2 linked regions of the Caenorhabditis elegans genome follow. The protein of the gene in region 1 interacts with the protein of each later gene in a pairwise test. Each region holds a gene or a part of one and is shown in the gene's direction. Other genes may lie near its edges. The genes, in order: txdc-9 and T20F5.6.

Evidence for each region.
Region 2: the proteins of txdc-9 (region 1) and T20F5.6 interact in a two-hybrid assay, tested with the Caenorhabditis elegans proteins (one large-scale study listed by BioGRID).

The regions. Positions count from the first base shown.
Region 1 is NC_003281.10:6,429,854-6,433,645, forward strand, and holds txdc-9 (Thioredoxin domain-containing protein 9), read left to right. Parts: upstream 1-2,324; 5' UTR 2,325-2,327; coding exon 2,328-2,416; intron 2,417-2,459; coding exon 2,460-2,805; intron 2,806-2,933; coding exon 2,934-3,125; 3' UTR 3,126-3,292; downstream 3,293-3,792. Other genes in the region: Ribonucleases P/MRP protein subunit popl-1, read right to left, coding at 20-103, 477-671, 719-937, 986-1,048; mrps-17 (Small ribosomal subunit protein uS17m), read right to left, coding at 1,300-1,597, 1,707-1,786, 1,835-1,939; vps-16 (Vacuolar protein sorting-associated protein 16 homolog), read left to right, coding at 3,388-3,482, 3,553-3,638, 3,691-3,792. UniProt on the Caenorhabditis elegans protein: Required for normal microtubule organization and function. Regulates tubulin acetylation in ALM and PLM neurons.
Region 2 is NC_003279.8:3,922,983-3,926,906, reverse strand, and holds the start of T20F5.6 (RING-type domain-containing protein), read left to right. Parts: upstream 1-1,744; 5' UTR 1,745-1,783; coding exon 1,784-1,853; intron 1,854-2,256; coding exon 2,257-2,556; intron 2,557-2,792; coding exon 2,793-2,981; intron 2,982-3,118; coding exon 3,119-3,209; intron 3,210-3,259; coding exon 3,260-3,332; intron 3,333-3,924. Other genes in the region: T20F5.7 (RING-type domain-containing protein), read left to right, coding at 1-314, 931-1,070.

The DNA.
Region 1 (3,792 bases):
TCTCCCTCTCAATGATTACCTCTTCTTCATCGCGTGATGACTGCCCTCGACATCCTTTTTGTGAGAACTGGGAGATTTTTGAATAAGCATCGGTGCATTGAATCTGAAAATTTAGATTTTGAATAGTAAGCATTTTAGATTTTGAATAGTAAGCATACTAAAAGTGGAAAAATAAAATCCGAATTCGGACTATTTCAAACAAAGATGTCATCTGATTTTATGGAAAATGGAAGTATCGGAAACATTTCAATTTTTACCAAATTTTGTTTACTGTTGATAAAAAATGAAAAAAAGTCTTAAAAAAGAAAAGAAAAATGAGGAAAATTTAAAGCTATATTTCGAAAAATCGAAATTTTTATTGGAAATATAGGGAAAACGAAAATGTTAGATTTTTTTCTAAATTTTATGTTAAATGTTAAGAGGAAAAAAATCTAGACGTCTAAATACTTAATGTTTTCTTTGGTTTCAATACTTACAGTAACACATGTATAATATGATCTATCTCGAATCACACAATTCTTGTTAGAATCTCTTAAAACTGCTCGAAATCCACGTTGAAAGCTGCGATCCGCGAGTTTGAAACCCCATTTTTGAATCATTCGAAATCTTTTCGCATGCCAAACATGTGTCGAGAGCCAGATACCTTTTGTACTGGTGCTTCTGCCAAATTTCTGGAAAAAAACGAGCAATTTAGTATTTAGTTAATTTGGGTTCTTACTGTTCGAGAATTTGCACTTTTTCGTCTCGCAAACCGACTTGGACACTTTTTAGCATGTTTTGAAATTAAATGTGCTGCTGCAAACTCTCTCATTGTTCTTGGAAATCGACGAATATCGTATGCCATCGCTCTTCTTCTCATGTGACGTGGCAATCTTTGAGCAGCAGTTCTTGGACCTTTTGTGACTTCACCAGACACAAGGGCGTCATTGTCAATAGCCTGAAAATTAAATTTGGAAGAATTGAAGATTATAGTTGTAAAAATTACCTTTAGTAGCTGTGCAATGGAATTTGTTCGAGCTTCCACGAACTTTTCGACTTCTATAAACATAGGTTTCTCAACCACCGGACGTGAGATGTCCATCTTGAATTTGAATTTACTTGTAGTTATAAAATTATAAAAAATAATTTGGAAAAATATACAAGGATCAAGTCAACCTTGAAGTATAAAGTTTTAAAAATAAAATTTAAAGAAACATTTCATTTTTGAATGTAAATATCGACAAACAATAAACAACAACGAACTAACTATTCCCAAAAAGTAAAAACAGATCAAACGTCTAAATTCAGAACATTCAAAAACTACACATTTGCCTCTTTTTCCTGTTCTAATCTTCTGATCTGTAGGGCTCTTCTCTCTTCAAATAGCATTGATTCTTCTTCTAATGGTTTATCCACAACTTCTTCCACTAAAACCTTCTTCAAATCAATCTCATCGGCGAATGTGTCGTTGAATATTTTGCGTCCTGTGACTGGATCGACAATGTTTCCGAATTTAAACACTACACGGTCAACAGCATGAGAGACGTTGGCCTTTGGGCGGGAAGAACCATCGATCTGCTTGATGAGCACTGTATCTCCGATGTTTCCAAGTGATGTTCTAAAATGTTTTCAATTTTGAAATGTAATTCTCACATTGATAAATTCAGTTCAGAGAAAATGCAGTAATTCTAAAACAGGTATTTTAAACAACTTATTTTTAAACTCACTTGTCGAGAGCCCAGAAGTCGAACGATCGGGCGAAATATTTCTTCAGATAGATGTTGAATTCGTTCATCTGACATCTTACCTAAAATAATACAATACACTTCGAAAAGTCTTCAAGAATTGAACCAACTTGAGCACATGGAATTCTATCAATTCCAATTTGAGTGATGTCGGTGATTTTACCCATCAAAATTTGCGTTCCAACGCGCGTTTTCCACACAGAGGTCTTCGGCATCTGAAACACAATAAATAATAGAAGAATTAAATCAAAATAATTATTTTTAAATACAAACTGAACCGAAAAAACTGAAAATTAAGAATAAAATTTAATTAAAATTGTTGCCAAGTGTGTGTGCATTCTGACGTGATGGTGTTTGCACAGTTTCGTGCAAGCATACAAGTGTGCTCTACTGAACAGCTAGAAATAATTGTTTGGAATAAATTCATGGAATTTCCAAACATTCTCGTAGCTTCTCATTATCGATTTTTATGGTCCTTCAGGCATAAAAAGGGTGTAATTAGAATTCCAGGTGGTCATATGCCTCTTATTCCGCTCTTATTATGCCGTCTTCCCTTTCCAATTTCCTAAATTTTGAATTTAATTCTGTTAAATTTTTCAGAAAATGGCCGCTAATATTCAACAGCAGTTTGGGGAGCAGCTTTTACGAGCAGCTCAAGTTGTCGAGGAACAGATCGACCAGGAGATGAATAAGTAATTTTGAAATGTAGAAACTGTTTGTCATGTGTGTTTTTAGACTTGAGAACCTAGAAGAAGACGATCTTGAGGTAATTCGTCGTCAACGGATGGAACAAATGAAGAAAGCTCAAAAAGACAGAATTGAGATGTTGTCTCATGGGCACGGAAAATACGAGGAAGTTGCTGACGAGAAGGAGTTCTTCGAAGCTACAAAGAAAAGCGATAAAGTTGTCTGTCTTTTCTACTTACCTGGAAACTTCCGATGCAAAATTGTGGATAAGCATTTCGAGATCTTGGCTAGAAAGCATGTTGGAACACGATTCATACATGTCAACGCCGAGAAGGTTCATTTCCTGACAACTCGTCTCAATATTCGTGTCATTCCAAGCATCGCTATCGTCGTGGTAAGTTTGAATGTGGTTCCTGCTATAGTATTTTTTTTTCTGAAGTTGTATAATTCAAATCTGACTAGTTTCATAGAGTTTTGTTGGCATCTGTACCAGATTATTTAGTTAAAAAAAAATAAATTTAGAAGCAACAAACCGTCGATTACATTCGTGGATTTGATGAATTGGGAGGAAAAGATGAGTTTACCACCGAGACCATGGAAAACCGATTGGCTCGATCTGAAGTATTGACTGTCGAGAAGAAGCATACAGCTCCTGCAAAAAAGAAAATCATTAGATCAGGAGTTGAGGAGTACGATAACGAAGAGGATTGGTAGATGCCATCTTAAGATGATTTTTTCTTGTTTTCATATTCTCATTTGCTGATAATTATGTGCATTTTGATCTCACATAATTTCCCATTTTTTCGCTTTCCTCCTCCCGTGTTTGCTGTTTTATCTACCTTTTTCACAATTTCGTAATCGCAAATAAAGAGCATATTATCCTTTGAAAAATGAAAAATAGCCGTTCGGTTAATATCCAGAATTATTTTTAATGTAAAATAAGTATTTTAGATATTAAGATAATGTATTTCCAGAAATGGGGGAGTCTCATGCTCCATCAAAACCAAAACTAGATGGAGAGTTGTGTCTTCGTCCGAGTAGTTCAGTGTTTTTGGGAGATCAACAGCTGTAGTAAGTTTAAATTTTTCGGCATTACACGGGCTTCCCAAACTTCGAAACTTTTCGAACACTTCGGTTTCAGTTTCACACAAGAGTATCTACGAACAAACTCGTTAAATCTCAAATATGTCGTTTACTTTACGGCTTGCCAATTCTCAGGTCCAATCGGTAATTTTTTCTTACTATTAAATTTTAAATACAAAACGTATCAAATTTTCAGCTGTCGCATATTCTCCTCGTCCAGCTTCCTGGTACATTTGGATCAGAACCATCAGTGGAAGAATTTTGAAGCGAGACATGGCATTCAATGAACCAGTTTTTA
Region 2 (3,924 bases), on another chromosome or scaffold:
TGTTGTTGCTGGACTGACGGGATCACCAGCAGAAGTTATGAAGTTTATTACTGAAAATGGAATTAGTATTGAGACGGGAGTTCTGATGCCACAAGTTGTGTATGATGAGGGTCGCACACGTGGCGGGACTGAAAAGTTTGCGAAGGTTAACAGCATGGCAGCTGGTCAATCTGCTATCAAGTGCACAAAGCCACCGGTTAAACTCGAAGAGCTGGAGTTTCATAAGACATTTGAGCTGAAAGTAAGCGAGGAATCTGGATCACTTAAGATGGAGCTGGTGCAGAAAGAAGAAGTTCCGAAGAATGGATTTGGAGGTTGGTATAGTTTTTTAAGACTGAGCCTCAAGGGCGGTGTCGTCGAAAAATAGTAGAATATCGAAAAACAAACATTTTCGATTAAAAAATTCCAGATTTTAGATTGTTCGAAAAATAGCTTTTTAGAAGAAAATCACATTTTTTTTCTTCCTTTTTTTTTGAAAAATCAAAAAAAAAATTGTTTAGAAGTTAAAAAACAATTAAAATTTTTAAATCAAATTTTTAAAAAAGTCGAATTTTTTTCTAAATTTTTCAAAGCTATTTTCCAAAAATTCGCCACAAAAAGCGAAAAAAATATGCAAAAAGAACGGAAAAATTGACCAATCAGCTTTCATTTTAGCTGAAATTAACCCTTTTTCGAAATTTTTATCCGCTATTAAAATGTTTGAGATTTTTAGTTGAAAACTTTTGCTATAAAATTAGCCATTTTCGGGTTAATATTTAAAAAAATGCCGAAACATTTTATTCGAAAAAAAAATTAAAAAATGTAATCCTTCGAAGGGCTTCTGAAAATATTATTTTTCTTTAAAAACATCTAATTTTATTTTCCCAAAAAAAAAATCGAAAAATCCCCCTTTAAATCTATATTTTCAATTTGAAAAAATCAATATTTCAGTGTTCGAAGGATGTATGACAAAACCATCTGCAAAACGTCTCAAAGAGTTTACCGACAGTTGTCCAGGCACTTCAGCCGAAGATGAAGTCCAAGTTATCGAGCCGGAGCCACTTCCAAAGCGTCGCCGTACGAGAAAATAGAATAACCTTCTCGAAGAGATGACTAGAAAATAAATATTCGGGCTTTTCATAATTCTCATCCGCTATTAGTTCTCAAAATTAGAAGTTTTAACCTCATACAAAATGATCTGCATGAAAATATTTCACATTTTATATTAAGTTTCTTTTCTCCTCCACACATTCTTGGTCTCTCCCACCTCCTCCCCGTCCCCCCTCAGCTCTTTCTTTTATCCTGATTAATTTGAATGTTTTTTTGATTCCACGTGTTCTCTTCCGTATCATTTTTCTATTTTTATTTATTACTGTTCCATTCCCCAAATGTTTTTTTCTCGTTTCGTTTCGTTTTCGTGCTCTTTTATTTATTGCTCGAATATTCGAATCGGATAGTCTTTGAGAACCCAATTTTATAAATGCATTCATTTACCTTTTTTTAAATTTATTTTCTGGTTTCTCACGTATTCTGTCGTGACTCCGTTATATTTGTATTCACTACTGTATCAGAATTCTAGGTAAATTTGCCTTTTTTCGATGTTTATAAAAATGAGTCGGCATTAGTACTGTGATTTTAAAGGTACATGACGAAAAACGACCACAAACTTTTACTCCGCTGCGAAACCATTTCGCACAAGCGTGTCCGCTCCCTTTAATGTCCTACTGATTTTCTTTTGAAATTACATTTCTTTCAAGTTTTTCAGAGTTATTTCCTTCAAAAATACACCGTTTTAATTTCTCAAATGGATCCGTTCGACATTGATGGTTTGAATGTTCGACTCCGTGACCTGCAAAGACAATTGCAAGACGACAGTAAGTTACTGAATACGAAAAATTTTGAAATTCAGTTTCCAGCGATCAATACCTGTTGCGCCACGTTGTTGCAACATTTTTCACTTAAAATAAGTGTCAAAATATGGAAAATCTCTCAATTTATCTGAAAATAACCTTTATTTCAGCTGAAGCATTTGAGAAAGTGCTTAAAAATGGCCTGAAAGGTGTCAATTGTCGATTATCGAATTATAAAACTTGAGCTTCATTTTTCCACACGTTTTCGAATGTTCAGGTGTTATTTTCAATTACATCAAGTGATTTTCTATTTTAACGCTATTTTTAATGAAAAATGTTAAAATAATAATAGTGCAATAGGTAATTTTGTAGAATTGCCTCCCACTCGTCCTTTATTTTAATCAATAAATAATATTTTTTATTGCAGTGGAAGAGTTCCGAGATATGGCCCAGATGGACGATTTTGCTCATCCGTTTGGAGGAATAGATGCAGCTATCAACGTCGATGATCCAGTAGATGATGCAAATAACGATGAGCCAGCAGCTGGAGCTGAAAATGTTTTAGACCGGGAAGATAATCAACCTCAGCCGGAAGCAGTTGCCACGCCTGACGTTCCGAAGGCAGAAAATGAAAAAGAAAAGGAGGATGAGGCGGACGATACAATTTTAACGTCGAAGGGCACCGAAATGAAAGGATTGTCGTGCGGAATCTGTTATGACCCGTTTAGTTAGTAGTTATTTGTTGAAAAACATTTAAAATTAGCCTTGACTTCAGAAAAACCAGAAAAAAAACGGTAGAAATCGCAGAAGAATGAAAAATTCAATTTTGCCTCAATTTGGAGCAAATTTGGTCAAAATTGAAAAAATCGTAAATTTTGTTTTATGGTTTTTCTAATTTTAAGTCGATTTTTAAATTTTATTAAATTAAAATCCCTTTAATCCCGCTAAAATGTAAATTTTCAGACACCGGCAAGCGTATTCCAAAAGTGTTTCCATGCGGTCACACGATTTGTCTCCAATGTATCAAAAAACTTCTCAACACCAGAACTTTTCTCGGCGGAAACACAGTCATCTGTCCATCGTGCCGACAAAATACTCGCTACAGCTTAACCACCCCGGCCGATAAGATTCCAACTAATTTCTGCATTCAATGTGAGATTTTATTTTAAAATTTGGCTTCAAAAATCGAAAGTAGTTCTGAAAAACGAAAAAAGTTGGAATTTGAGACTATTTTGAAATTTTTTGAAGCCAAATCCCTTAAAAAAAACAAAAAATCGATTTTTTTTCAGCATTGTTAGAGCAAAGACAGCAGGAGAAATCAACAAAAGAGCCGGAAGCTGTGAAATGTACCGAGTGTCACACGACAGTGAGCGCTATTGAGTAAGATTCTTTGAAAAAAATCGGTTTTTAATTTATATGAAAAATTTCAGAGCTACAACATGCTCAGACGAAACGTGCCAGAAAGAGATTTCCGAGGAAGAATTGAAGAATGTAGACAAAATTGTAAGTTTATATTTAACGGAGGCTTATGATGTTAAAAACGTTTAAATTATAGAAAAACATAGAAATTTTCTGAATTTTTATGGTTTTTAGAAAAAATTTTGCAAAAAAAAATTCTGAATGGCTGAATTATTTTTGAATTCCTCAGAAAATGGCCTTTGGTTTTTTTTTCCATTAAAAAAATAATTTGTAATTTTTGAGATATTTTTTGGTAAAAAACTTGATATCCGGAAATAAATAGCCAAAAAAAAAATCGAAAATTGAACATTAATTCAAATTTTTTCGCGGAAAAATGCCACAAATGGCGTATATCTAGAAAACGCAAAAAATATATACGTTCAGGTCATTCTTGAGCACTTCCTCCAATGCTTCAGCAGAAATAAATATTATTTTCAGATAAATCAAGTGATTTTCTACATTTTGACACTAATTTTCAATTTAAAAAAAATCTGGGACCAAAAGTGTTTTTCCTTTTTTTTTCAGAGAAAATCGAAAAATTTGAAAAAAATAATAATAAAACCTTCAGGAAATGACCCTTAAAATTCAACTTTTTTGATCAAATTGTGTTTACTTATGTTGCTGAAAAAACATAAAA